2 linked regions of the Drosophila melanogaster genome follow. The protein of the gene in region 2 interacts with the protein of the main gene of each other region in a biochemical or structural test. Each region holds a gene or a part of one and is shown on either strand. Other genes may lie near its edges.

Region 1 (16,281 bases), on a different chromosome or scaffold from region 2:
GATCGTCGCGGTAGAGAATCTTGTGCGCGAACTCGTTGCCAAACCAGAAGTCTCGGGATAAGTTACCAAAACCCGCGCGATACTCGTCCCAGCTGCGATTGAAATTTTCGTGCGGATCGAAGGAGCCGCCTCTACTCTGGATCACTGTCCAGGCGGGGCCGTCGGTGGCGAAGGCGCAATAACGCTCGTACAAATCACGCTGGACTTCATTGCGCTCCGGAACCAGAAACCTATAGACGCCATCCACCCGGACACCTTCGTCAAGCTCATGGCAATCGGATTTGGCGGGCTGGTAAAAGTCTGGAAAATGTCACCGGGTGAGTCGATGAAACTTGAAAATGATACACTATAACTTGCCCACTTTCGGCTCGTCCTTTTCTTCAGTAAGTTCCTTTGGTAAGGTCTGGCTTGGGGAAGGTTCTTGGCACACTTTAGTTGACCACTCTTTGAGTTCCAGCAAATTCGTAGATATTCTTTCTTCCTGGTTCAGTCGCTCCAGCAACAAATTTAGACGTTCAGATAGAACGGCAAGGGGATCTTCTTTGGAGGAGTATCTTCCAGGTACTTGCACAACTGCATCGGCGAGTAACACCACCTTGCTGAGCACGCGATGCAGATTTATCTCCAAGCCCCTTAGCTTTAGTGCCTGTGCAGCCAAAGTCTTTCTAATCAAGACTAGCTCCTCCAAGGATTTAAAGCCTATATCAGAATTCCCAATCCGATTTAGAGAACCCGTGCTTCCCAGAAACACACAGCTCCAGGCCAGCAGAAAAAGCAATGAAAACTTCTTGAAAGGGAGTCAGTATCCTTAAAGCCGCCAGTGCGTTGTCCGCCCTTACCATCATTTCGATTCCAAGTTCAATCGCCCACTGAAGTCAACTGGTGAAGTCAGCTAGTGAAACTATTCGACACACATGTTGGCCAGATTCCACCATCTGGCGATGGTGGTCCCAGCATATCACTTCTGGCGCTCCATGTGTCATTTTTAAGAATATATAATTCTGTATTTTTGCGGTCCTTAGTTAATCTTCACATTTCTGTTGTATTTCTTTTCAAGTTTTAACGAATTAAACTGGATTCTAGCTTTGCGGTGAAACATACGCAGTAGATAGTAAAAACGAAATTAGAATAAACATTTTCACGGACATAGCCGCGCTAGGTTTCCTTATGGTTGTTGTTTTTTGTTTTTGTTTTTTTTTTTGTGTTTTATAGTATTAATTGCTACAATTAGCCGCTAACGTGTTTATAAGGTAGAAATGAAAACGCCTAAGCAACTAAAATACATATACATACATTTATCGTTCGATCCATTTTCACACACCGCCTTTCGAATTCCGCTCTATACATTTACAGCTGATAAACTTTTTAAAATATAAGAAAAACACGGCCCCAACGCCGACTGATTACTTGCTGGGCTAAAGGCTAATGGTTGGTTAGCTAATGGTTAAGCTTGATCAATTTACAGATAATTGCCTTCTATAGCTTAGTTGTTATATCGTTTGTGTGCAGGTGCGAATACATTTCAAATCTTCAGCTAACTGCTCTCTTCGGCATTTACACGTTAATGTATGCATATGGTATATATTTAAATGTTTTCGTATATATATATATATTTAGATTAGCTTAATATTTTTATCATTAGCGCACTTCGGCTTGAAGCCCAAGTGGGTTTGTTGTGGTGCCTACTTAACCGCTGACCAGTGCTCCAACCGACCGCATCCACCACGTCCACGCGACGTGGTGGGTGCGTTCGATGATTTCTTGATCGTTGGTTAGTGTACAATTATCAGTAACTGCTTAGCTCTATGCGTTTAGCTTGTATTTACATTGTTTCAAGATTTTCGCTTCTGCTTCGTGTTTGTTTTGTTGTGTACTTGTGTGTAGCGTATCTGTGTTTTTTTTTTTTGTTGTGGGCTCGTAGAACTAAATAACTTAGACGATTGCTTAGAGTACGCAATGCTGTTGTGAGTGCAAACCAAACCGTTTGAAACAAATTAAAATTTGTTGGTCTGCTCCGGCTGATTTGTGGGTGTGTGTGTGTTGTGGCTTTAAAAATTGACAAATCGTTTAAAAGTCTTAAATAACGAAAACTTTGGATTTTGGTCTTAGATGCGTCTGCTGCGAACACCCTCGGTCCGTGTCTTCCACTCCGGATCGTTGGGATCGTCGTCCTCGAAGGGATCCTCGCCCATATCCTCCTCTAGCGCCTCCGGATCAGCGAGATAGGCATCGATCGCCGAGTCGTAAAGCTCATGCTCGACATCTGGTGTCGACGGCTCCTCGTCATCCAGCGGCGCCAGATGATGCTTGGGATAGTCGTCATCCTCGTCTTCTAGCAGCATCTCTTCCTCTTCCGGCTCAGAAATTCCACCTTCATTTGCCGCATCTATTCCGTTCAACTTCGCCGCCGCAGGGTGGCCATTGAGCTGGCCATTTAGCTGACCATTTGGCTTAATCTTGCACTTGCTGCTGCGCCGACTGCCGCTGCCTCCTGTGAAGGTGTTCCCACCATCACAGTTCGAGGATATCGACTTGCTTTTGGCCCGCTTTGAGACGGTCATTGACCTGGGCGGCGCATATGTCTCGGCTAGCAATCGCTGGTAGACCTCGTCGGAGAGCGGAAAGTTCAAGGGCTCAAAGGGAGATGGCATCACAGTGTAAGACTATACAAAAAGGAAAAGGGTTTCAATTAGAAAACTATTCTATACAATCAGTATTTGAACATTCAAAGCAGTTTGAAAACAAAATTCGGCAAAAGTAATAGGCACAACCAGAATTTATTTTATATATGAGTTCAACAAATGTGAAACTTGGACATCGACTTACCTCCCGCAGATCGGGCGTGGTGCTGCGCCGTTCCAGCTGATCCTTAAGCTTGCTAGACGTAGTCCGACGACGAGCTTGGCGTGCCTGTCCGCCAGTCAGCAGCTCACCGCTTTCGTTAAAAGCGTCCAGTGGGTACGCCAGCGGCGAGGGAATGCTTTCGTTGTCGTGACCAGGGCCGCCTAGATGAGGAGCTGGTGAGGCGGGATCCGGTGTGTTGGCGCCACTAGATTCGGCACGACTATCGACGCGCCTATTTGCACGCGATCGGGTGCTCCAGGGGAACTTAAGGAAAGTCTCGAAGCGGCGTCGCTCCTCGAGAAGAGCTCGCTGATGTCGCATAATAAACGCTTCATCCGAAAGATCTTCGTCGACATGCTGTGGCTCCTCCTCGCTCTCACGGGATTCCAGCTGTTGCTGCACCAACTGCCCATTAGCCTTGGTGACCTCGTTGGAGGTTGGAGTTTCCAGCTTGGGTCGCTTTGGCAGTGGTGGTTCTGGTGCTGGCTGAGCAATTTTGTCTTGCGTTTCGGCAGTTTTGTCAATCGGATTCTTTATCAAGTTTCCGTTGAGCTTGGGTTTGACCACCTTTTCCTTTGGATCGTCGTCTTCTTTTGATTGCGTATCGTGATCCTCTGCAGCCTTAAGTTCATCCTTTTTGGCGTTACCATTTACCAGTCCATTTTTATTATTATTATTGTTTGTATTATTATTGTTATTGTGCTTGACTGCTTGATTTTCCTTTAAACCATTAACCTTCGGAGGCTGCAGGGCCGGCTGCTCTTGATCTTGATCTGGTGGTGGTGGTAGCTGTTGTTTGGCTAGCTCCTCTGACTTTGATGCGACACAGCCATTGCTCAGTTTGCGCTCCATTGACTCATCTGACGAATGTTTTCCCTTATCGTTATCACTGTCTACAATGCGCCACCTGAAAGCAAAGATGGAATGGGTGATTTTAATAGATATACACAAATCTTGGTATTTTACATTATGCGACATATATATATAAAATAAGGACTTAGCGCAAAATTGAATACTTACTTGGGTATGGGTATTTCCTTGTAGGGAATTATCTCCATTTTCGACTGGGCTAGCATACTGTAGGGTATAACGATGTTATTGATGTCGTAGATGGGACGAACGCGACGCTCAGAGGTTCTGCAAGGGAAACATACATATAAATTATATATAACAATCTATCTTATAAAAAAAAAGCAGGACTACTTATCGCGAATCCCTGGGATCAGTTATTGAATCCGAAACATACCTCTCATTTTTATGACTGTTGGAGGGCGAAGAGTTGCGACGACTCCTGCTTTGCTCCCCCCACTGATCGCCGTAGCCATTGAGATGATGATTGTTGATTTTGGTGCCGTGGTGATTCTGCTGCTGCTGTGTGGAATTGCTGCTGCTGCTGTTGGTTGCGGATTTGCGTGCCTTCTTAGCGCCGCTCAGTGCCGAGATCGAGGTTGAGGAGGGACTGTGGTGGCGTTGTCGTTGGCGTTGGCGAGAGTCTGGCCACAGCGAGCTGGAACTGTTCGCTCCAGTTGGGTGTTGTGGTTGCCGCTTGCCCCTGGCCGCTGCTGATGTTGCGTCAAGTCCGTGATTTGGATGCGGAACGGGGACGAAACGGAGACAAGAACGGAATGGCAAAATAAAACAATTGGTGGGGTTTTTCGTTGTTGTTGTTGGTGGTGGTGTTTGTTGATGGTGTTGGTGGAATTTCGTGTTTTGGTTGATCGATGCAAAGAAAAAGAAGAAGAAGAGATGCAAAAGATTGTTGTTGTTTTATGTTAATAACAATTATCGAATTTCGTCATGTTTACAATAATTTACTGTTGGCCACAAGTGGCGTTGTAGTAGGCGTAGTAGAAGAAGAAGTAGTAGCAGTACCAGTACCGTTTCCGCTATCCCCTCCCCCGACGCTACTGCTTCCGTTTCCGCCTGCTCCTCCTGCGGCGACAGCAGCAGCTTTAGCTCCGCTCCCAGCCTCCTTATTTGAGTTGTTGTTGCGCTCCTTGCGTCGTATATAACGCCGCTTCGCCGCATCGCCCGACCGCCGGCTGCCACCTTGTCCGCCGACACCGCCTGAGGCTATCGTCTCGCGCTCCGCCTTCCACATGGCCTTGACAATGGCCTTGGGCTGGCTGCGCATGACGCGGTACTGCCAGTCCGGCTGGCGGGCAACGGCCTCCAAGTGAACCGACTGACTGACATCTGGGAAACAAGAATGATAGGGATAAGAATATATTCAAACATAATTCCACTTTAGCTGTCATCATCCGACTATTTCTTTTCATTTTGGAATCCAATGTAAAGAATACGAGGATTTTAATGTTTTAGTTTCGAATAAAAATTATTTGCAAGTATTGCATTTTAAAGTTTTACTTTTTAATCAATTCAGTTCAAATCTCAAGTGTAGAATAAATAATGTTAAACCATCACAGATGATAAGAAATAATCATGGACGAAAACCAAATGGGTCCACTCAGTGTAACCTCCCACTCACCGCTGGCGAAGCTGAGCACTGGATGGTAGCCAGCATCGAGCAATGCCACCCGGTTTTGCGGCATCATCGTCTCGACCAGATCCCTGGGCGCCGTAGGGTCTGTCCGACCCGTGCACAGTGTGCATGGCACCTGCGGCCACTGGCAGCCACACTTAATGTTGCTGGGGCGTGCGGCTTTCTTGGAAATCGTGTGCATGTTCGTGGTCTGGAAGAGCTTGCGTTTGCGGAACTCGGACAGCACCAATGGACGTGCCCGACTGCAGAGGTAGTCGGATCCGGGCTCCTCCTTAATGCCATTTGCCGGCTGTGCTAGCGACGGTGAGGTCTTAGCTGTGGACTCCAGCTGGATCTCGCCCTTGGACTGAGTTAGATCCATGTAAAGGTCGCTGTGCTGACGGATCTTCATCTCCAAATCGGTCAGCTGGGAGCAGAGCCAGGACCAGCGCAGGGCAATGGCTGCACGATCTCTCGAATATCGCCAGACAGCGCGTCGAGTGCTGCAAAGAATCAAATTTCAAGAGCATTAGGAAAGAGAATACCACAAAAAAAAAGCTAAAAGAAATATATAATCGCTAATTAACAATTTTAATAAAAACTGTTGAAATAGTTGAAATATCGCATTGTAAATGCGATAATTAGGTACAACAACTCTAATCAAAGCCTATTACAACTTTTCAATTGCTAAGGACGACGTTAAATCATGTTTAAAATGCCTGTCAAAGCAAAACAATTTTGAAAGAAAACTACCGAGCCAACATTAATCGGACAAATTCTATAGCAAAAGAATGATCTTAAAAAGATGACAGAAGCTGAAAACCCCCCTCAAAAAAAGATGGAAGAAAGTTTACTTGTAAAATATTCCCGATAACCTAAGTATGTACATAAATAATACGAAGTACTCACATTGGTAGCGAGAGCTGCTGGTTGTTGTTGTAGGTTACCATCTCGTCAGCGGATTCTCCACCAGAACTTGACTCCGTGGCGTCCGAGTCGATGGCATTCTGTACTTCTCGAAGCTCCGTGTGCAGCAGGCCAGACACATGGGTGAGTTCATTAGTCACATAGGTGTCGTAGCCGGGCACGATATCATCCGCCCGCGGTGTATTCGAACCCGTTGCGGATCCCGTCGTGCCAGCTGCCTGTCTAGATGTTACCGCTCCTGGCGCAGGTGCAGTGGGTGTGGCACCCGTTGCAACCGAAGCATCAAGTTGATTCTTTCGTGGACGCTTCATCGGCAGCGCAGAGCTGTTGCAGCTGTTGTACCAGCTGGAGGATGGCGCCAGAGTAGCAGAGCTTCCGCTGGCTGAGTGGCAGATTTGCTGATGCTTTGCCGCCGTCGCAATATGCCGGATCACATTACTCATCTGGCTAGCAGGCAGCGGATGCTTGTTCTGCTCCTCCCAGAAGGTTGAGCTCGGACGCCCTGAGACAATCGATAGGACAGTGGCCTCCTGCTCAGTCAGCGTGGAACTTCTCGCTGGAACTGGAGCCTTATGGGAACTGCGGGCAGACCACTCCATGATACCAACCACCTCCTCGCTCGCGTGACGGCACATCGCTCGCGCCTGGAGCTTGCGCATCCTGCGTAGCAAAAACTCGATCCTGCGCGAGATAACGTGCTGCTGCTGCTCCAACTCAGCATGACTCTCCTGCCAGGGCCGCTGCTCCTGCTTAATAATCACATTCGGCTGGGAAATGTTGCTGCCGCTAACGAGGATGCCACTGCAGCTGGGCTTCGCGCCCGGCACATCCACCACATTTTCGGGTGGCGCGGGCGGCAATGGCGCTGCCGGTGCTGCCTCTTCCCAAACTTCGTCGAAAAACTCGCAAATGGTATCTGGATTAACATGGCCACCGTCAAATGTTTTGAGCGCTTTAAGCACCTCCTCGATATCCTGATCCTCTAGAACAGCACCAGCTGCTCCGTCTTTGAGAAAATTGTTGGAACTGGTGGTGCTTTGCGGCGTCATCTGTTGAATGGACTGCTGCTGTGTTCGCGCCGGCTGCGGAGACTCAAGATGGGCACTTGGTGGCGCCTGTGGCCTGGTGGGCGTGTTTGGCGCCTCCTGCACGGGTACCGGAACAGAAGGTGGTGCCACATGCTCCTCGGGCCTTCCAGTGGCATTCCCATCTAGCTGGCTGAGACGCTCTGAAACAGTGGGCGAGAGAAATTTTGAGTCAAGACTATTTATTTGGAGTGATTCCTTAGACCCACCTTCTATATTATCTATTTCTATCTTGGTCACCTCATCCACTGCAGATAAGGATAGAGCGCTGCCAGCACTCGTTGAACTTGTGGCCACTGCCAGCACCGAGGCAGGCGGAACCGGCTCTTTCCCCAGACTCACATCGGGTAGGGTTTTCCTCAGGCAAATCTCCGCGGATATGGTCTCCTCAAAGTTGATGGTTAGATCCGCCAGTAGCTGAGCGGTGGAGTTGTCCTTGGGCGTGGAGCTGTTGTCGGCGGAGGTGCTGTTGCCGGCGGAGGTACTGTTGCTGTCGTTATTGTTGTGCTCCACGGCAGAGGTGGAGGCTGCCGCAGTATCCGTCGAGGGATTTGGTGAAGTGGTGCTGTGTGGAGTCGGGGCTGTGCTCAGCCCCATTGGTTCATTGCTGGCTTTAGCGTTGCCCGACTTTCGCTTGTTATTGATTGCTAGCGAGGATCGCTGCTGTTGTAGATGCGGGGAAGCGGTAACTGAGGCCGCTGCCGCTGATGAGCGGGTAATCCGCGTGGTGGCCGTGGCCGGCGTGGGTGTTGCCGGCTTCTTGACCAAGCCAACTGCACATCCAACTCCTCCGCTTTCCGAGGAGCTGCGGGCCGAGGGCGAGGCGGTGCTGGTTAGCTTCTCCTTTGGACTTAGTGGCTCGGCTGTGAGCGCTGGGGCCATCGTTCTGATGCTAATACGTTGGCCGGCTGCTGCGGCATTTGGTTCGTTCGACTCCTAAGGCGTCTCTTTATGCTAATCCTGTCGAGAATTTTCCAAAAACGGGCTATTATTTTTCGGCAATTCAGCGTTAGGACGACAAAATAAAGGCATACTATTCGGTCCGAGACTACTGCGTTATCATATAAAAGAACAATATTGGTGTATTTATTTTTTATCTCGTTTAAACCGCCCGCCTCCGTAAGATTTCAAAATTTGGAATGGTTTTTTTTTTTTGTCTTTTCCGGCGTGTTATGTACATATGCTACATATGCGTACACAACACACACACAGCGTCGCTTTGGCCAACAAGAGAACCCATGAGAGCGAGAGAGAGGTCAGAAAGCGCGCTATTGCACACCATGATGCGCAATAAAAAAAACTGTATAGAACACACACACACAAACATATGCAGGGACTGACAGACTACTTTACATACTGACGAAATCATTGCGGTTACTTTCGAAAATTACAATTTTCCAAGATTGGGCATCTTCTGCCGGCGGGAAACTGCCGATCATGCCACCATGTTTTTATGTAATTCCGTTTATTGAGTTTTTCCACTACAATTAGCCTAGGCAAACGGAAACTCGCGCCTTTACACACACACACGCACATGCTAGCACACACACACGTGCAACTGTATGCGCCACTATATTCAGTTATTTACACAATCTCATTTATTGTATTCCACATGTCTCGATCAATTCTGCAGTAAAAATCAGTTATATGTGCTTTGTGTCCTATCTATATTCGCCCAGATTCCAGCGAAAGGGCAGTGGAAAAAGGTTTTCAGCGCGAAAGTAATCGTACTCACTAACACATGCAAGCAAGAACACACCGACAGCAGGCAGGCAGCACGCAAGAATTTGTAAATTGCTTAAAAATTAAGTAGTATTTTTTTTCATTATACGCACAATTCGGCCGTTCCGAAAAATTGCCCGTAGCACAATTGGCAAATATTTTTTGCAAACACAATGGCGTGACTCGCACTGTAGGAATTACGGTTTTCGCTTCACGGACTTTTTTCCTCATTTATTTTTTTCATCGCTTAGACTGCTCTGCTACGCTTTTGGCAAAACGACGTGTATCGAAGCTGTACTCGTTTCTGTGCCAGACCAAAGTGCGCTGTCGCCCAGCTGGTTGTCTCGCTCTTGCACGTGCGCCGCCTATGGCGGTGGCGCGGCCCACTGTTGTGTGTGCGAGCGAGATGACCAGTGTCTATGGCAGGGAGCTGCAAACTATCGGCTGTGATAGCAATATATCGAGTAGATACTGGAGTGGTGCGCACTTTCGACTAGCGACTATCGATTCTCGGAATAATTTTCCGCCTTGTTTTAAATAATTTATTATTTATTTATTGTTGTACTTCAGTACTGGGTTCAGTTTTGCGAAACGTAATATTTCTTATGTTCATACTATCGAATGTTATCGACTCAGTCGATAGCAATGCAGATATGCCTGCTTACGCAAGTTGCAGCCCTGGTAATTTATTTAGACTTTGTTTCGGAATTGGATGGACAACGAAAGAGCTAATAATTCGTTTTTAATGTTTTATGTCAAAGGAAGTGAACGTATAGTCCTCGATTTCCTGGATTTGCGAAAATTCAGCCTTTGAGACCTTAGCGTTGGGAATTCGGTTGTTCTCCAGCCAATGTTTCCTTCAAATTAGTGGGCGATGGTTAAATGATTGAATTAGTGGAGTGCAGCGGTACCTACATTTCCATTAAATTCATCATAGGAGCCTCCAGTTGTCCCTTGACGGTCCCATCCCGGGTATTCATGCACCAGCCCCTAACTCCCAATCTTTTAGCCTCATGCGACGTGTGCTAAGCCAAAAATGTACATAAGTTAAATGTTGATTTCCAGATATATATATAGGCCTCCCAGTACTTACTTTGCGGAAGAACACACCTGCAAAATTTAATACGCTGTTTAACAAGCCGAATCAGAAAAATGCATTGCATACCTTGCACTCGTCCAAAGATCTCGAAATCGAGGGCAAATATCTGCTTGGCAACTCCAGATCCCGCCATTATGTAGTCGTGATCAGATTTCTGATGCCACTTAGATTCCTTGCAGCACTCAAATTTCTAAATAGAGCTAGCAAAAACTGAATGTTGACAACCAAAATAGAATTATTATTAAATTGTAACATAGTTATCGTAGCCAGGGCGACAACGCAAAACCAGGGGCGTTCAGTAGAAAATACCGTGAGGTCAGTATTTAGACAGTACACACACCTCTTGTGAACAACAATATACTGTAGGTCATCAAGCTCATCTCTAGCTAATGTTTACCGTTGCTTTTCAACGCAGGACGCACTTGGTAAAAGTTTAGGTAAACTAAACAAAACGTTTGTAATGTACAATATATATTTATTTCTTTTATAAATTAGTTGCGCTAATACAACTGCTTAGCTGGCAAAATGACGGGCGCCAAGAAAAGATCGGGAGCACCGTTAGTGGATGCAGCTCACTCGAAAGCCCCAAAACCAGGTACAGTTGCCCAAGAAAAAAACAGCCAAATTCCAACTGTTTGGAAAAAGGATCATGTAAAAACTCAACTTTTCGAAAGATCAAACGAAAAGCCATCCAAAAAAAGAACTCCGCTAGTGGCTCCTAGAGTTCAGCAATCAAAAATTGAAGCGCAAACTTCTCAGGCTGTGGAAAAAACACAGGAAGACCAAACTTTTGCAGCCACCATAGACAGTTCAACAAAAAGTCTAAAAAAGTCTCCCAAAAACGAGGGAGAATTATGGGCAGATATTCAGAAGCTGTCGCCCCACACGGGAATAATAATTCATAGCTTCATAAAGCAGTACAACGAATCGCTAAATAATCTCAAGAAGAAAGACTTGGTGGTCAGCAAGAAAATGAGAGCCATCGCCATGGACTCGCTGAAGAAAAAATCGGAAAATATCAGCTTGAAGGAAAAGTAAGACCTTCCTTCTTCAATACAGTTCCTGCCTGCAGTGAGCTTATTCTTTCAGGTTGACAAATATGGAACTGGAGCTGACCCAACTGAAAACTGATCTTATCGAGCAGCAGGAGAAGAACGCAGAGAACATCCAGAAGTACACGGAAATCAACAAAAAGTACACCCACTGCGAGCAACATTACGACAAGGAGCTGGAAATCATTAAAGTATGTGTTGAGAAGAAAAATTCAGAGCTCCGAGATGCTCAATCCCGGATGGCCCTGCAGGCGCAAGAGGTGAGTTTACTATATTTTAAAATATATAGATATAAATTTATATATATCTACATGTGTATCTCACTTTGCAGCTGAATAATATGCAGCAAACGAATCGTGAGTTAGCTGGAGCCTGCGAGAATTATAAAAAGGATTTGGAAGAAGCAGAAGTGGCCAAATCTATGATTCTACATGAACTTACCGATCTCAAAGAGCTCCACGAAGACCTACAGCTTCAATTTGAAGATGTGTCTGCACAAAAGGAAAAGTTTGAGGTGGGTTACACTGGCTTTCCTTGTATTAGATTATAACATTATGTTCTCCACAGGCAAACATTTTACAATTAAGCAGCGACTTAAATGCAAAGATGCTTGACTGCGCCCAGCTTGAAGATCGCATTGAGCAGCTGCCAATAGAGGCCAACAAAGCTTTGTCGAAACTGCAACGTGATTTAGAAGCCAGTGAATTGCAGTTCGTGGATCAGCAACGATTGACTGATCAGGCAACGAGGGAACTCGAACTTGTTCGCAATGAGATAAATACGTTTAAGACTCTTATTGAGGAAAAGGAAAGAAGACATGTTTCCCTAAGTGATGAACTAACTCAAATGACGGAGAGATTGAGCGAGCTCGCTGATATCAACGAAAGTTATATCAATGAGTTGACTGAAACAAAATTGAAGCACTCCCAGGAAATAAAAGATCAAGCAGATGCCTACGAGGTTGGTCTGAAAAATACTAAATTCATATTTTATTGTATCTTGATTATTTATTCTCCTTGACAGATTGTTGTTCAAGAGTTAAAAGAGAGCTTGAACAAGGCTTCAGTTGATTTTACTCAGCTAAAAAGCAACAGTGAGAAGCTACACAAAGAAACCCTTCTGCAGGTCTCCGAACTGCAGGAAAAACTTATAGAAATGGTGTCCCATCGCAGCAATCAGGAAGAGCTAATAAAGCGTCTTGGTAATGAAATTCAAGAAAAAACTCATAATTTTGAAGAAGAACTCAAAAGGCAACAGGAGCAGCTTGCTAATCAAATGCAGATGAAGGCCACTGAAGTTGAGAGCGAAAATAAGCGAAACGCTGTTGAAATACAAAAACTTAAATCTGAACTCGAAGAAAGGAATAAAGCTTTTAAGGCTCAACAGGATAAATTGGAATATTTGATTAGTGATCATGATACGCTAAAGAGCGCTATTATCAATCTTCAGGCTGAAAAGAAGGAAATCGAGAGTGAATTATCCACGGCCAAAGTTAAATTTAGCGAGGAATTACAGTCTCAGAAAGATAACCTAATGGTAAGACTTATAAATTCTTTTTCATTAACCTTTTTTCTACAAAATGATTTATTATTTTTATATAGAAAAAGGTATCCGAATTGGAGCTTGAAATTAAAAGAAAAGAAACCGAATTGATTGAACTTGAGCGTGAAAAGAACGTAAGTCTATCGGACTCATTATATTTCATGTTATATATTTAAAATTGCCCAACAGAATGAAATGGCTGTGCTACAATTTAAAATGAATCGAATTAACTGCCTGATCGACCAACCAGTGACCACAATTAAACAGCTAAAAGATTCCAAAGGGCCAACCAGAACTGAGAGCATTCCTACTAAGGTGCAACCGGAAAATACAGACGAATTTTCAAGCACTGCCAGAAAGCGTAATGCTCGTCGTCAAAAAATTACCACATATTCCTCCGACTTTGATAGCGGCGATGATATACCAGTGAGTATTTGTTAATTGCACCTATAATCGAAATTAAATTATTGAACTTTTATTACAGATCGTGGGCAACTCTTTAAGCGGCAAACGTGCCAAATTATGTGCGCCCATCAAGCCACAAAATAATATTGATATGTTCGACATGTTGAAGAATTCTAAATAACTAAGCAGTACAACGAACATACAGACAACATTATCAATTCTTACACTTTGTTTTTAGTAAAATGGAAGAATATTGAGCTTAGAAATTCATTCAGATCCATCATCATTTAAACATCTGTACTTCTTTGAAAACTTGTCTGAAACTGGCAAGCTATTTTTAAGAACATGATTACTTTATGTTATTTAATCCCATTTTGTATCTAATTGTTAAATTAAAACTCATATCTTGAAGTATCTTGTTCAAATAGATCCAATCTATTTGATTATAGTTTTTGTAATAAAAACATTACATGTACTTTGTTGAAACACTTTAATTAATAACACACTTTTGTCCTCATTTCTTTAAAGGACACCAAACAGATTTTGAAATCATACCAAAAGTAAAAACTGGTAAAAACAAAACGTAAAATGATCGATACTAAACTATGTTTTGATGATATTTATCAGGCGGTCGACGTCAGCAGCATTCACGACTCCGTCCGCCTTAATTCCAGATTCCTCCATTGCCTTCCTGGTGCCACTGCCCACGGCTATCAGCTTGCGATCCTTAAGCGAAACGTTGTAGTTCCCAAAGAACTCCAAGGAGCTGCGGACACTGGAGGGTCCGAAGAACACAATCGTTTCCATTCGCTTGAATTTGAGGGCGTGCCGCATCTGATTGACGAAATCCGGATGCGACCGACTCTCGTACACTTCGCAGGCATCCACCCGGAATCCCTGGGCGACCAAACGGAGGCGCAGTGTCTGACCCACGCCATTGCCGCAGGGCATGAGCAGTGGCAGATCCCTCTTGGGTCCAAACGTCTCCACGATCAGATCGCACAGATTGTTTGCATTCACGGCATGATCGCCCAGAGTCGGAAGATTCTGGAATGTTATCCAGGCGGCGCTGTGCGTGTTCTTGCCTAGGGAATAATTGTGTAACGCACGCCAGCAACTAGGAAGTGGTGTCTTTCCTAGTGCCTCGTTTACAGCTTGGACACAGCGCGGGGATGCAAATATAATCCCGGCATATTTGTGCGGCTCATGCAACTTGGCTTGCAATTGCTTCAGATTCTTGAACACAAAATGCGAGGGAGTAATGAAGATGGGATCCAGGTTATGGCTGCGCAACGCCGAACCATAGAAATCATCGGAGGACGGAACCTTCAGCAGAATAACCGGCTGCTTGTTGCGATCTCCCATGATTCTAACTAAATTTTGCTGGACTTAACTAGAGAATGGACAATTTGATATTCGTGTTTTGCGTTTGATTTATAGAATAGTTCGAATAGAAAGGGCATAGAATAGATAATGCCTGAAAATTATTGCCGCGCCTATCGAGAGTCGGGTTTTAAAAATAGTTCATCACATTGAAGCCAACTATTATTAGGTGGCTCTAATCCAACCAAACACGAATGCAGGCTACCGAACTTTCAGTTGCACTTTGAAAAAACTTCTCAATAATTTCGGGAATGTTATCACAAGCATTTGCAACGCAATCATTTATAATTTTGTACATTTATATGGAAAAACAAGTGAGTTGAGAACACTAACCAGGCAATAGTAAAAGTAGAAAGTACAACAATTAATCTTAAATCCGTTTACACAGCTCCCATCTGGAGAATGGGTGTAAATAGCTTGTAGGCCTTCTCGATGAACTGCACGGCAGATAGCATTTCGGAAAAGAATGTGCTGACCCGGCCTTTTGATTCCTCCGTTTCTGACTTGCCGCTCAGAACGGCGGCGAAGCGGTGGCTAAGTCCTTGAAGGTGTCCATTGAACTGCTGGCAGAGATTGACGACGCCATCCACTTCGTTGGCGGTGCTGTGATGTGGCTTCACCAGCAACAGCTCGGCGATTTTGTGCAGCTTACACATCTCGAGGGCGCACGCTTCACTCAGCGCGTGGATGCTCTTAGCATAGGCTTGCTCCAGATCGGCGGCAGTTGCTTCCTCTGAGGTCAACCAGCTGAGGGACTGCGTCCAGTGACTGTACAAAAGATTTGGGTTTATGGTATGTTTAAATAATATTAGTTTCCGACAACTTACTTGGCTATGTCGTCAAACTGAATGCCCAGCTCGGCGTCCTTGATTGTGGCCGCCAATCGCTCGCTCAGTTCCTCCGCCTCGTAGTCACCTTCACTCTCCACATCCAGATCCTCCAGTTCGATCAGTTCCTTCACCTCGTTTATCGTTTCCTGCAACTCTGCACGGGCATTGCCACTAACCGCATCGAGTAGGGTGTCCAGTTTGAGGCGTGACTCCTTGGAAAGGATCTCCAGGGCCTCGAAGTGCACCAGGCCGCAGTAATTTTCGAAAAGGATTTCGAAACGCAGCTGCGCCTTCTGTCTTTTCAGCTGTAGCTGTTGCAGGGATTGCTCCATTTGGTCGGCCTCCTTCTTTGCCTCCAGCAACACGGCACTCAAATTAGGCGAGTTGGCCTCCAGACCGAGCAGTTTCCTCTTGTTCATCAGCTTGGGATCGTTGTCCTGCAGGATGGTCATGGTCTTCTTGCCAATGCCCTCGAGTGTATCCAGTCCGGTGTTGAGAACCTTGGAGCCCAGATTGGTGACAAAGTCCAAGCCAAAGGCGGCCGAAGATTCTTTTTCATCGTCGACATTTTCCTCTGGCGGCGCTTTAGCAGCCTTTTCCGCCTTTTCAGCCACATTAATGCGAGCCAGCTCCTCGGGATCGGGCACTCCGATGATTTGATTAAGCCCCTGGTTGACTTGGGTGGTTATCGTGCCCAATCCCTCCGTGGCGGTGGTTAGCACGGAGCTCAGTTTACCGCCCCACAGACCCCAGGACGAGGATGTGGCGGATGCTGTTGCTGGAGCAGAAATTCTGGGAGTTTCCAGCTTTTCCTGATTTTCCGCCGTTCCTTTTGCGTCGTTTCTGCTCGAGACTTTCTCCTGTGGCTGCTGTTCCTTCTCCACGTGAACGAACTTGTCATCGTCATCGC
Region 2 (14,199 bases):
TGCAAAATAATTTTTTTCCATTTTCCGTCTAAGATCTCAGTGTATGTCTATAGTCTTTTGGATGCTTTTTTCTCGTACCTGTCTTTCTATGCGTTTGTTTTCCATTTCACCTGCCCAGTTTTTCGTACTCATCGTTGGCATTCCAAAAAAATGGAGTGCCACGTGACTCCTCGTTGTGGTGGTTTAGGGGGGGGGGGGGGAGGACTATATAGGTCGGGCGGATTGACGCCGCTTGTGCATTGTTTCGAGGGGGCGGACAAAGCACACAAATAACTGTCAAAGTTTCAATTCTTTTCGAAAGTAAAGCCCGGGTAAAAAAAAAAAAAAAAACAAGAAACCGAATCCGAATCCAAAAGCAAACAAAGGCAGAACAATGGTCGAGCAAATTGAAAGCTCTCGATTGGTATTCCTCTATTCCGGACTTGTTTTCCCACTTTTCACTTTTCATTAAAACAGAAGCAGCACGGAAGCGTTGAAAAAAAATCCGCAAAAAACAGCGAAACTAAAATTGAAGTCGCTCTACAAATGGATAAACTCAGTTTGGCAATGGATTTTATTTACAGATCTCATTCAAGGTTCAATTTATGAAACGATTAATAGTTAAAGCAATAAATTTTTTAAAGGGCCGTTCAAGTAGGTTCCATTATCCTTACATCCGCGATGAATGCATGGCTGTTCTGTCCAACCGACACGATAATGCACATACTCATACATATGTACATATATGTTGCACATCAATCCCCCTTTCGCCGACATGCAAAGTGCAACACCTCTCGTTCTTCGAACAATTTTAATTATTTCCACACGCAGCAGCGACGCACTCAGTAAGTCCATGGGCGGCAGAGGGAACCGGCAAAAGAGTGGTCGTTGGAGTGGGATGGTGGGGGGTGGGGGGGCGAACCCGACCGCAGGGAGTGTGTTGTTGGCTTTAACGGGGAATTAAGTCGGGCAACAGGAAGTCAGCGAGCACAATAATTAAGATGAGCGCTCGAGGGGCAATTATGTGACATCAACTTGCCAATTTTAAAACACCCCCGCCCCCCCGCAATCACGAACTCTCCGCATCCCTTTATCCTTCAGTCGAAGGATAATGCGAACGTTTTGGCCAACAGTGGGCTGTGTATAAAGATTTCTAACCATATATAAATATTCTTCGAACTGCATACTTTGCGACACATTCATACACTCAGAGAAAAAAACCTTTGTAAACTTGTAATCTTGGAGTTGGAGTTTTCCGAAACCAGTAGGCCCGTCTCCAACTGGCAACACTTCATTTCACCTAATTTGACAGGGACACACACAACACGTTTGCTCTACGGTTCGGTCGGTAGTACCAAATCTTATATACACTACATCTTCACAGTATAGCCATATATATATATTAATATTATCAAAATTTTCCACTAAACCTGCTTTGGAATGAGCACAGAACATCTGAATGACGCGGCGGAGTCCGTGAGTGCCCGGAGTTTGGCTTTGGATCGCGCTATCGTCAATTTGGTGCACCAGGCCCGTCGCCTCCATTTGAACAGCGTGAATGGCTATACATCTCTGGAGGCATCTCTGGAGAAGGCAGTGCCAGAGTTGCTCACGACTAGGAGTGATACCGCACACCCCACCACCACAGCGACCAGCTCGGCAAGGTCTTTCCCGAAGCGTAGGCCCAGTAGCCTAGCACCACGACCTGCGCCCAAGGCTTTCAAAATGCGCAAGACCGATACGCATCTGAGGACCCCACGTGTCGTCCAGTGTAAGACGGCCCGTATCCCGGTGACGCCACCACCACCGCCACCCTCGCCGCGTTGCCCAAAACCTGGGGAACTTAGTTCGGCCATGGACATGGCCGATCTGCTTCGGATCGAGATCGCCGAGACGGATGCACTGTTGGATCAAATGCTATTCGATGCCAAGGCACTCGAACGCCAGGTGGCGATCCAGTGTCAGTTGCAGAGCGATGCGGAAATGATCCGCAGCCTGGAGATGGAGTACAGTGGGCGATCCATGAGATATCTGATAGAGGCCATTCAGTCGGACTGCGAGAGCCAGGATGTCCAGGATCTCTGGAGCCGATGTCAACGCTCTTTGGAACGCCACGCGGAGCGACAGACGGAGCTGGAGTCCAAAGAGGGTCTGTATCTGGATCGGAATCCAGGCAAGGGCACCGGCAAGGGCACCCAAACCGATATGGCTGACTCTCAGGACGAGATGCTACCTATCTCGTCCAATTCGATTTGCCAATGGTTGCGAAGGGCGATGGGTTCTTTAAGCCAAGAGGATCAGGTGCAGGAGATGGCCATCTAGCGCAGGCCAGCCTTGAATAGTATTTGAATAAAGATACACAACTCTAAAATCACTTGTGTGCTCTGCTGTTTTAACGATGGCCCATAGAAATATTGAAAAGCTGCGATTAGACTAGAACTGCGAGGATTAATTAACTACTACTTGAAAAAGTATATATATTTGTTAACTGATTTATACAGTGATACAGCTCAGTGATTTGACCGAACTCATCTTACAATCTATCTATCCATTTAATAAAAAGATATTCGAAAATTTCTCATTTCTACATTTCGAGTGAAAGTACCACTGTGCCGCCGCAACTTTGTGTCTGCCTTTGAATGGTTGTGTGAGGAAAGTTTTCTTGTTAAGTTGCAGATTGAATGGCGCCGGTAAACACGGTGCGGCAAGTGCAGGGCTCCCAGCTTCGAGGACACCATGCATCCATGCCTCTGATTGAGCCAAATCCTGGCTCATAACTAATTGCCAGCAGCGACGACGATGGCGCTGGCAGCGGTGCAAAGTTTAAATTAAGTTGCGTGTCATAGTCGAAAAGTTTTCCACTTATTCAAAGAGGCACGTGCTCCACTGAGCACTACTCCACGGAGAAACTCCTGTCCTCCACTGGCCAATAACGCCAGCGAAGACGGAGGATTGACAAAAGAAATAATAACCAACGGATGGGAAATATATGCATTACTGCTTTACGTGCAAACAAAGTTGCAAATATAATGGAAAATCCATAAATCACAAGAAGCTACTGATAAAGTTAACCACTTAAGTAATTTAAAATGATAAGTTAACTGGGAATCAACATCGAAAATGCCGTGGTATATTTAATATTTTTTGGATTACATTTACACTTAGTTATTCCAACTAATAAATAGGCTTCTTTTATTTAGACATTTAATCAAATGCATAACATTTAAATGGAATTTTCTCTGCATGTGCAATCTCTTACCGCCATCACACACAGTTTTGTTGGGTTTATCACACTTCATCTTAGGATCATTTCCAGTTGATATATGTAGCCAGTGAATGGCAATCCGTGCTGTTCGTCTCCTCAATTCGTTTTCACCTTTGACTGCGGCTGCGGCGACGTTGATGGCGACTCATCGAAGTCCAGGTAATCTGCGTAGTCGCGTCGCTTGGACAGCGACAAGGTCCAGCAGATGATCCACAGCGGCAGGAAAATCGTGCAGATGACAAAGTACAGCCAGTTGCCATAAATCTGCAATAGGAAAGTATTTTAGTTTATTATCTATGTATGTTAGTAGTGGCAACTGAAATCTTAACTTACCACGGAATCGATAAGTCCATAAGCCGAGGCATCCATGGCCGCGGTGGCCGCCCTCAGCATGATCTTCTGCACCGGCAGCTCCGGGAACTGGTAGAATGTCATGGCCAGCACGATCACATAAACGACCATCATGGGATTCATGACCAGCGTGGCCAAGCGGATCGTGTTCCTCAGCGTGCTGCGCGAGTTCTCCTCCTTGGTCTCCAGCGCGATGACCAGCGGTACAGTCAGCACGGCCGCAAATAAGCCCAGGGCAAAGTTGAGGAGCCCGATGACTATTAAAGCGCAGCCATAGATTAGCAGAAAGGCCACATGCAGCAGCTCCAATCCTCCGGGCGGCAAAACCACCACAAAGGGCAGAACGAAACCGATCAGAGAAAGAAAACTCAGTACTGAGGTGGTCAGTGGTGCGGCGCCCATAGGAATCTCTAGGAAATATTGCTGCAGGGGCAGCACGTTGCACAGGAAACCAATCAACAGGGTGGCAGTAAGGTAAATCAATACCGAACCATACGGCAGCTCGAACTTATCCGGCTCTAGGTTCTCCTCCAGTTCCGCCTCCTGTTCGTGCTCCCTAAGCCAGCCAGCGGCCTTTTCCAGCTCAGCGTTGGTCGCCGGGAGCGTGGACCACGTTAGATAGGCCTTAAGGAAGGCACAAGCTACCAGAGCCACCAAAGCGGGCATATAATCCCCAATGGAGATGTAGCGATCGTTGCTTACGATCACATAGAAGAAAAAGCTTTGATGGAAGCGCTCCAGAAGGTTGTTCAGACTCCTGGCTATTCCCTCGATGGCCTTCAGCAAAGGCACCGCTGCCGATCCTGGGCTGCCCTTCAGTGTGGCATGGGTGGCCCTTCGATTGGCAGCTATGGTCAAAGCATCGATCCGATAACGGTGGAACAGCCCATGATTGCCAGTGGGTACGCCCGACGACTGGCTGGCCAGCATGGTCAGCATCTGGCGGAAGTTCTGCTCGAAGTGCGACTGGCTGTGACGACGCTTCTTGCGTGGCGCTTGTTTATAGCCAGAGGCGATGCCCTCGCGGGCCATAATTCTCTGCACCAGATTGAACATATCCAGATTGGGCAGCTTGCCGTTCAAGCCCTCTATTCGCACATCCACATGGTCAATCTCCAGATCCTGAACTTCAATATTCAGAGCCGCTTGCAGCGAACCAGCGCGAGCGGGCAAATTGCCAGGACGCAGGTACGCCTTGCTCAAGTCCAGTTCCCGGTCGCCATCGTGATAAGCCTCCAGCCAGGCCTGCATGCCCAGCTGCTCCTGTTCGGTGATCAGGAAGATCAGATCCTTCGCCCAGTAGTTCTTGCGCCGGGCAAAATCGGCGAAGGCCAGCAGAAGCGGCACGCTGGCGGAAATGTCCGTGTGCACGGAACTGGCAGCGCGATATGGAGCCGCAAAAACGATGCCCTCCGTGGAGGCAATTCTTGGGGCCCTCAATATGCCGTAGATATTCTTGCCGTGATACTCTTTACCGCCGCCAAATGGGTAGCGCAACGTGTAGTTGTGCGTGTGCGTCTCCAGGCCGAACTCGTTCATCTTGGCCGCAATCCAGGCGTGCGGCGTGGTGGACAGATGATCCTTTCGCTCCCGCTGCAGCTCCTCCAGCAACTGGATGGCCAGACGATTCGCATCGATGCGGATCTCCGGATAGACCAAGCCTACAATAGATCACACCAATTGTTAGCGGCTCTCTTTTGGTGACGCTGCACGTAACTCACCTGGCGAAAGAGCATTCTCGGAGAGATATGTCCCGTGGTTGAACTCCGGCAGCGCCAAACAGAAGAACCAGGCCACACCCGCCACATAAAGGGCGTAGCACACCTTGCGAACATGACGCGCCAGTCCGTCCACCAGCTTGCTTTGCGTCGATATCGACGGATCGGACAGCAGGCCCATTTTGGCTGCCCTATATCCTGTATATATCCCGAATCACAACAACACGAATCGGACAAGCCGGCGGAATTGTATCGATGCGGGCGTTATCGATAACCTCGATAACCGATTGCTTATGACGCTAGGGAGGAGAGGGTTAGCAATGGATTTTAATGCTCGAAATTTTAAACTTGTTTTTCCAATGTTTTCGATATTTCTATATATATTTTTTATTATATCAAAATATACATATTAAGCTAACCTACAAGAAATGTGTTGCAAAAATAATGAAAAGAATAACCTGTCGTTGTAAATATTTATTTAATTTTTCCTCTTTTTGACGTTAATGTAACGACGCATTTATTTGAGAAAGTACATCATGTTCTCAGATTGGAGTTTTTCTTTTTTACAGTTTAAATCATTTATTATTGTTCATTAGTCAGTAGGAATCGTTCAGTTCTTTCTGAACTTAACCTAATGTGTAGCCTAAAAGATATTATGGATTCTCTTCCTTAATTATAGTGTATAAAAATGTACCGTGGAGAGATTATGCTATCTTACGTGTAAGGAGTTCATAGAGATGTATTCTCTTCAGGCGTCGGCATATCGGCTGCTGTGGAAGTTTATTTGGTTTTTAACAAGTCCAGAGTTTTTCGAGATAAAGTAGTTAAAGATATATATTTCAAGAACACAGAAGTTTTTAAAATTTTTAAATGGTTGTTCCAAATTCCCTCTCCAAAAACATTAGCCAAACGAATTAGACATTTGGTTCTATCATTAAGAGTTACAACAGCCTATCCGTAAAACTCCTTAACTATAAAAAAAAAAAATTGTAAACCAAATGTTAAGTATTACATTGAACCTTCTGATGGTTCCATTTAGATATATGACTATACATTTTTCGTTTGGAGGGGTGCAATAGAATAGCTTATTCCTACGCTTTCTTTAAAAAAAAATAAAAAAAAAAAACCTAATCGTCATCGTCAATAACAATTATATGCGATGATAGCAGAACGGGGTCTCCAGGTTCCGTATGCTAGCCGGAATTTCCCGGAGCTCTGACCACTGCCGCTGCAGTTTGCGGACTCCAGACGAGGTAATCGGTGTCGATGGTCAGCTTGGGCTGCTTGAACTGCGGCAGCTGGAGGTGGTCTTGAATGGTCTTGGACGTAACGCAAATGACATTCTGGCCCTTCCAATACTTGATCATCTTCATGGACTGCAGCGTGTAGATAATGTCGTCGTGGGTGATGCCACTCATTTCGCTCAGCTCCTTGATTGTGATCTGCTCTGGAGCGCAGCGGGTTTTCATCAGCTCCAGCAGCGTGTATGCCCAATAGCTGCGATAGCTCAGCCTACCCAGATCCGAGAGCGGTTTCTCCGGACTACCGATTACGCCCTCCTTGCGCGACAGCTCATAGCTAAAGGCTATTAGTAGCTTTCCAAATCCCTTACGCTGATGCGGCGGCAATACCAGAATGCAGGCCACGTTGTAGTTTTCCAGCGACTTCTTTTCCTTGGAGAAATAGCCCACAATGTGACTGCCCTCCTTGTCCGTCTCGCAAAGGATGTAAAAGAGAAACGGGTCCATGTCGAAGTATAGAACCTTGTGGTCCAAAAAGAGCTTGGCCATCAGACACAAAAGTTGGCAGTATAGTGACTCCTCCTTGCCGTTCACCTCGTAAATGGATATATTGCCCTTGCGGTAGATCTCTCTTCCGGGCGGACGCCTGCGGTCGCATTCGTGCAGATGATAGGCATAGCTCGACCTGAAGCGCATGTACTTTAGGCAGTACTCGCAAACATATAACGTACGTGCCTTGCCATATTCTTCGGGGAAGGGACTAAAGTACCAGGTGTCGATCTCGTAGTTGCCAAACTGCAGCTTATCAATGTACTTGATCTTCGTAATGGACTCGTGCTCCTTCTCCAGCGCCGCCTGCGTGGCGGTCAGCTCAGCGTGGCTCTTCTGCACGTGGTTGATCTCATCGTAGCGCCGCTTCTGGTAGCGTGTCATCTTGCGGTCGCTGTAGTCATAGCGACTGTTCTCGCAATAGGACAGATAGTAATCCTTGTTGGCCGCACGCTTCTGCCGTTCGGATGAGGCAGCTGCCGCCGCGGCGGCCTGTTGGGCGAGCATTTCCCTGCTAGTACTTGGCTGATCGGGGGCTAATGGTGGCGCTGGCAGCACGGTAATACCGCCCAAGTCATCCGCATTGTCCGAGATCCTATGCCTGCCCACCCATCCGTCCAGGCGGCGATTGAGACCAACATAGTGGACGTAGTACTCATCGGGAGCGGCCGCATTCTCAGTGGTGCGAGACTGAAGCACCTGGCCACGGTGCACGGTGCCATCCTCGCGCCGAATAAAATAGATCTTGTCGGGATTTTCGCTTATATCGATCTTTTGCATCAGAGGGTCACCTGTTGTGATGACCGTCTCCCTGGAAGTGTTGTCGTGCTCCATGGTCAAGGCATCATCTTCGTCCTCCTCTTCCTCTTCATCGTCATCGCTGCTGCTAGTTTCGCTGCTGTCGTCAGAAATGGCCTCAACGTTGGCGCTAAGTACGGTTTGAATGGGCAGAACTACGGCTGGCGGCGGCATGTTGCGCTGGCGAGGATCACGCGGCGCCAGGCGGGTGGGCAGGCCAGGTGTCGATTCCTGCATGTAGCGAGAGCGTATGTAGGGGGATAAATATACTGCTGGTGGTTCCTCGCCGTCATCTGTGGGCGAGGCGGGAGTCTCGGGGACTTGTTCCGCTGCTGGAGGAGGTGGTGGTGGCGGTGGGGCAGCCAATGGCAGCCCCAGTTGTTGTGTCCCTTTGAGATGAAGAGGAGCTGGAATGGTAACCACCTCGGTGATTATTGCATTGGGAGGAGCATCGGGATCCATAACGAAGTCGTCAATGTTGGAACCACTGCCGTAGGGGTTGATGTCGGCCACGCAGATTACCGTATCGGAGGAGGGCTCATCCTCGGTTTCAATTTCCTGGTCCACCACCTCTTTCTGCTTCTGCGGCTGCGCGGGCTCCTGTGCCTCCAATTCAACTGGACCTGGTGACTTCACCTGATCCTGACCGTCCTCCTTCTTTTCCTCCTGCTGCTGCTGCTGTGGTTGCTCCGGCTCGGGCTCCGGTGGTGCCTCCTCCGCCTCGCTAACATCGTCGTAGCGGGAGGAGCTGGACGACCTGGTGGAACTAGTCGATGTGCTGCTCGCCGGCGTGCTGTCCTCCGAAATGGGACTGATGTCGCGATGCTGGCGCTTCGCCGGTGGCTCTGACTCCGCCGCGGCCTCCGCTTGGACACCGCTGAGGTCGAGCGACTGCTCCGCCGACTGATCCGAGCCGCTGACGTCTAGACTGGCGCTCAATTCGGCCGCCGCATCTTCAACCGGCGTCCTCGGCGGACCGCCAATTGTGTACGCATCGGTTGGCTCCTGTTCCGGCTCATGCTCCTCCTCAATCGGCTGCTCCTGCACGTGGCCCGCGCTGGGTGTCTGTTCCAGCTCCGCTTCAGACATTCTTAGCCACTAGATTTGTCCAATTGCGTATTTTTGTTCACTCTTTAGGGAAATGAAACGAAATACGGCGTGAAATGCAACCCTGATTTATCACAACATGTCCAGATAATCGATTATTAATCGGTGGTTATCGATGTACAATACTTTGCACCCTTTTTGAAATTACCCTTCTGGATTTTTCTGTGCATTCAGTATTATAATATATTTTATTTATCCAAAACCTTCAGAGAAAGCACTTTAAAAAATTGGAACTGATTTCGAAATTTTTATTGAACATCTATCCTACAGAATTAACGCGCAAACAATTATTGGTAGTTGATTTGTGTACATTGCTAAATACAGACAGCTAAAAGCACGGCATGAATTTGGAATTCTTAAAAAATCTTAAATGCATAGATAACAAATGAAGAGTCGAGCTCTCTGTTACGATAGGGAGTTCCTATATGCAATAAGCCGTACACAGAGTTTGGATTATGCGGAGACCATTACATGAACCCGCCGAGTATAGGTCAGATCATCGTGGGTTCCCGTACTTATATGAGTTATGTATATATATCTATATAAATGTGACGCGTGTTTGCTATGGCCACCGTTCGACGAAAAGGATTTGGTTTCGGATATTCATATTCATCACATCAAAAGTATGGACTAGAATAATACCGACGACCTACACCTGACTAGCGCAGATTTAGCTGCCTCTGCTGGCCACGATCGTAGAATAAAAGATAGGCGGGGACGCTCAACACCTCGTCGATGCTCACCTCCCGCACAATTGTATCCGATGTGTAGTACCACCTAATAAGGATAGCACAGAATTAGCATAATTATTACACAGAGGCAATGGAAACCATACCGATGTGCGTTCCGCAACGAGCCACGCCTGTAGGTTACAAAGTGACCGCTGTTTGCCTCCCCGGAGTGCACCACCACGGCCAGAAGCCGGTAAAGATTCTTGGGGAACATCGTGCCAAAGCCCTCGCCACCACCAACGCCATTGTTCATCGGCAGGCTGGAGGAATACAGCGACATTGTCGAGCCCCAGGGAGTGCCAGCCTGTAATCATGAGCAAAAGTGTTTGTTTTAACAATATGCTAGTTACTAAATGTAAACAGTTCTTGAATTGAATGCCACTACTCTTTGTACACCAATTAGAAAAGGAAAGACCTATATTCTATAGATATATCCTATACATATATATCCTTTAGATATATGTATTTAAATGATCATATATAAGGATAATTTTTACAGGGGAAGTTTGTTATTCTGGGGCAAACATATGCAACACACGCTCACCTGGCTATTGAGATGCGGCTGCACGAAGCTGTAGGGCGCCATGGAGAGGCTCTCGGGGAAGTGTACATAGTCCTTCCGCTTGCACACCTGTCCAGTTGGCAGCCACACCGTCCGCGCCACATGGATGCACAGGCAGGCCGGTAGTTTAGCGAACGTAACCGATTTGGTGTGCGTGGTGGTCTCGTTGCAGGAGTCACACTTGACATCGCTCAGATCCTCCGATGTGATATACTCGCTAAGCAAGTGGCCCAAACTCAAGCCAGTTCTGCGTTGCGGCGGCAGATTTAGCGTTATGCTGTCGAACTTATCGTACCGAACGGCCGACTTGGAGCCGCAGCCATTGCACACGATCTGTGCGCCCATGGCGCCCTGAAACGGATGCGCCACTTGGCTGGGCATCATGTTGGACCAGATGGACACCCGACCTGGTCCGCGATGCAGGCGCTCTAGCGATCGACAGGAGCTGGACACCCGGCGATTCAGACCCTCATCCTGCTGCTGTTGGGATTGTGGAAGTCGCGGTCGCGACGAACGCTCGCCGCCCAACATAGGCGTAGCCAAGGAATCCGGATTGCTGACGAGCGGAAAGCCAAAGGGTGTCCCTGGCGAAACGGCATCCAGAAGCACGGATCCCAGGCGATCGTTTCCGTCGCGTTCGCAAACAGAGGCAGGCGAATCCGGTGTGTGGGCCTCGGAACGCACCAATCGCTGCAAACTGGTGCTCTCATCATACTCCATGTTTAAGAAATCAGTGAGCATGGCACTGGAGGGCCGGTTCGGTTGATCCCCGATCCTCTGGCTGGCTCCCAGTCCCGCTGCCATGGAGCTAAATGATCGAAAGCCCCCTACTGGCGTTGCTGTGCCTGCCAAGCTGCTGTTATCATCGTTATCCGTGGGCAGAGCATCCGACAGACAGCCGAGGGGCTGTGGTCGTATGGCCTCCTCCTCCAGGCAGGTCAATAGCACGTGGAACAGCTCGTGGGCGTCGTGCTCCTCCTGTGGAATCACCCAGCCCAGGGCATTCAGAGCCCGGAGAACGGCTCCCGGTGAATAGGGATCGCCGCGCAGAGTGGCATGGGTGCCATTGACCACTTCCAGAGTGTTTAACATCGACGTAATTAAGCTTTTTCGATCCGGCGAGGCGTTGTTGTACAATTGCAGCCAGGCAATGAACTGGGGACAGGCGGCCATCGCCTGTAGCAGGGTGTTTAGGAAGCAGGTCAGTCCAAAGTTGTGGAGACCGGCAATTTGGCCGCGTCGTTGACGCAAACGGGAACCTGCAAATGTTTCGCTGGAGTAGGGAACTACGCCATGGAAGATCTACTACTCACCCGAAGGACCCCAGAAAACGAAGGCTCCGACTACGGCGGCTACCGTCACTCCGGCGGCCATTAGAATCTTCTCGCTCTCCATGGCTTGAGATTTCCGATGGCTGGTTTTCCGGTGCAGATCACTGCGGTACCGGGAACTCCCAATCCCGCCGCCAAAATCGCACACAGACTAACTCTAGTTAGGAATTTAGACCGAAAAAATTTTTGTGTCTCTTGATGTGTTGCAAAGCGATTCAGTTGTTAACACCACAACGTGCGGCCATTACGCAACACTGGCGCGCAATTATCGTTAAATTTGCAGAGAAAATCAAGTATTTTAAAATTCAACCGAATCGTTGTACATGTGAATGTTTCTACTATAAGCATTAAACAAACATAAGTTTGACAGCTTAAATTTGTAAACGTAGAATATATTTCCCATACTATTGTATCGTCTATCGATAGCGACGATTTGATCAACTTTCGATAGGCACCTCGAACAGCTGTGTGGAAAGGGGATTGTAATAAAGGAAAACAAAGTAGGCACAACAACCAAAGTTTTCAATCGAAACGGAAACATTCGGATATCAGTCGTCGTTCTTAATAGTTCAGATTAGAATAAAAATCCTCCTGGAGGAGCATAATTGAGTGAAAATTAACTGCAAAATTTGTCTGTGATTGTGGAAAGTGAATCAGCTGTTTGGGAAAAGTAAAACGGAATACTCTGGAACCTTCTCGTCGTTTCTTCCTATTGTAAGTATTCGGATTGGCTTTCATCTTGTTTTAATGCAGCCACTTTGCATCGTCCTTGTGTCTATTTCCCAATTTTCCAATTTTCCCCAGCTGACTTGCTGCGCAATAGGAAAAGCAACAACAACGAAACATAAATACATACACACACATACACACACTCGCATGGACCTAATCGCTTCTGTTTTTGTTGCTACTTTATTGCGCCGTTTGTTTATGTCGTCTATTCGCTGCGTGGCCGTTGTGCAATTTGCTCCCATTTTCCACATTTAATTTTGGAATCTGTGCCACGCAGCTTGCCAAATTACATATTCTAGAAAATTTGAGAATTTTCGAAAGTGTTACATTTTATTTCCATTCAAATCTTTTGCGCCTTCTCTCCTTGTCGCACATTCATACATGCAAGCAGACGCGCACTTGTTTGCTCATTTGTGTGTGTGTGCGAGTCACGTTTAACGGGTTCCTTCCGTGTGTTTGTTTACAGTGGGTATTGGCTAATACCTATTTCGAAAATAACAATTGAAACACTATTTTTGGTTGAGAAATATGCGCACACAGCAACAGGTTATTGAAAATTGGTTATGTGTTGCAATTATAAACCTAAAAATATTTTCCTGCCAACTCTTCTATATGAAAATCGATACTAATATGAGAAACCGCATCAAGGAATATGGAAGAGTAACTTGTATCTTGCGATCACTGTATCTAAGACCCCCTTTCTTTCCCAGGCGAACTGACCCCGAGCGGAGCTTTAGCGACGACCTCGAACAAAGAACAAAGAAAGCCCGAGTGCAGTTGCCAATTGCCTTGTAATAATCACCAAGCCATATATACAACTGGCTCTAACCGGTGGTAACCAAATTCGCATTTGGTCGAAACCAGTTGCTGCAGCTGCCTAACGTCGCACTTCCGCCCGTGAGGAGACAACAAAGGACTGGAATTTGAATATGGATGCCCAGGAGAATAGGAGTGAACAGTCGGGACAATCGGGCGACCACGAAGAGCACGAGGAGCGCCGGATCCGTACGGACAGCGAGAGTTCCGTGGAAAGCATGACGCGTTTCGTGCTGCCCAGCTTGGATGGTACTCCGCCGAAAATTGTGACCCTGGACGAAGTGTCCAGCATGTTCAAGAATTTGCGCAACATGGAGCTGGCCCACGAGATAGCCCTCAATCCGGACTTCAAGCTGCAGAAGTACGAGCCGCCCTCGGATAGGTGAGCATGTGCCAGCAGCAGCCCTGTCAGGGAAACCATTCAATTAACATTCCCATGTCCACAGTTTGGAGGGCGCCATCAAGAAGATGGTGCACAAGGCCTTTTGGGATCTGCTGCGTGTGCAGCTGGACCGCCAGCCGCCATCGTATGATCAGGCCATCCGGCTGCTGGCTGAGATCAAGGAGTGCTTCCCGCAGCTGCTGTCGCCCAACAACGAACGTGCCCTGGCCCACATCAACGAGGTGCTGGATGACTCCGTCATCCGCCAGCAAGCGGAGCGGGGTACCCTGGACTTTCGAGCATATGCCAACTTTGTGATCAACATCCTGTCGCGATCCTGTTCGCCAGCTAGGGACGAAGCAGTGGCCGCTCTGCGCAAGATCGACGATGTGGTGGACACGTTTCGCTGCATTCTCGAGCTGATGACGCTGATGAAGCTGGATATGGCCAACTTTATGCTTCGACTGGCGCGCACCGAAATCGCTGCCAATTCGGTGCAGTATGAGAAGGAGAAGTTTAGCAAGTACTTGCGCGAGTTCCATGGAAATGGTGGGTTGTTGGCCAAAAAAAAAACTACAATGCCTTTATTTATTGGGAATGCCATTATTTCCAGTTGGTTTTCCGGCCACTGAGGATTGGC

What was found.
Region 1: the proteins of mof (region 2) and nsl1 form a complex in vitro, tested with the Drosophila melanogaster proteins (one study listed by BioGRID).

Annotation. Positions count from the first base shown.
Region 1 is NT_033777.3:15,786,846-15,803,126, reverse strand, and holds nsl1 (non-specific lethal 1), read right to left. Parts: upstream 9,346-16,281; 5' UTR 9,074-9,345; exon of another isoform or gene 8,927-9,073; intron 8,299-8,926; 5' UTR 8,221-8,298; coding exon 7,548-8,220; intron 7,482-7,547; coding exon 6,236-7,481; intron 5,830-6,235; coding exon 5,333-5,829; intron 5,041-5,332; coding exon 4,660-5,040; coding exon of another isoform or gene 4,646-4,659; exon of another isoform or gene 4,407-4,645; coding exon 4,091-4,406; intron 3,982-4,090; coding exon 3,865-3,981; intron 3,752-3,864; coding exon 2,827-3,751; intron 2,664-2,826; coding exon 2,106-2,663; 3' UTR 1,907-2,105; downstream 1-1,906. Other genes in the region: CG9593 (uncharacterized protein), read right to left, coding at 1-300, 358-787, 840-845; Acyp2 (acylphosphatase 2), read right to left, coding at 9,803-9,917, 9,976-10,085, 10,154-10,170, 10,226-10,292; c(3)G (crossover suppressor on 3 of gowen), read left to right, coding at 10,685-11,193, 11,249-11,471, 11,543-11,725, 11,779-12,171, 12,235-12,747, 12,813-12,887, 12,943-13,179, 13,238-13,339; Uros2 (uroporphyrinogen III synthase 2), read right to left, coding at 13,762-14,523; CG9590 (uncharacterized protein), read right to left, coding at 14,922-15,309, 15,369-16,281.
Region 2 is NC_004354.4:5,867,763-5,881,961, forward strand, and holds mof (males absent on the first), read right to left. Parts: upstream 9,092-14,199; 5' UTR 8,991-9,091; coding exon 6,507-8,990; 3' UTR 6,078-6,506; downstream 1-6,077. Other genes in the region: CG15764 (uncharacterized protein), read left to right, coding at 1,420-2,301; GAA1 (glycosylphosphatidylinositol anchor attachment 1), read right to left, coding at 3,341-3,508, 3,578-5,256, 5,317-5,494; Usp30 (ubiquitin specific protease 30), read right to left, coding at 9,668-9,785, 9,844-10,043, 10,284-11,560, 11,615-11,696; CG16721 (uncharacterized protein), read left to right, coding at 13,291-13,559, 13,624-14,108, 14,173-14,199. UniProt on the Drosophila melanogaster protein: Histone acetyltransferase that catalyzes the formation of the majority of histone H4 acetylation at 'Lys-16' (H4K16ac), an epigenetic mark that prevents chromatin compaction and constitutes the only acetylation mark intergenerationally transmitted.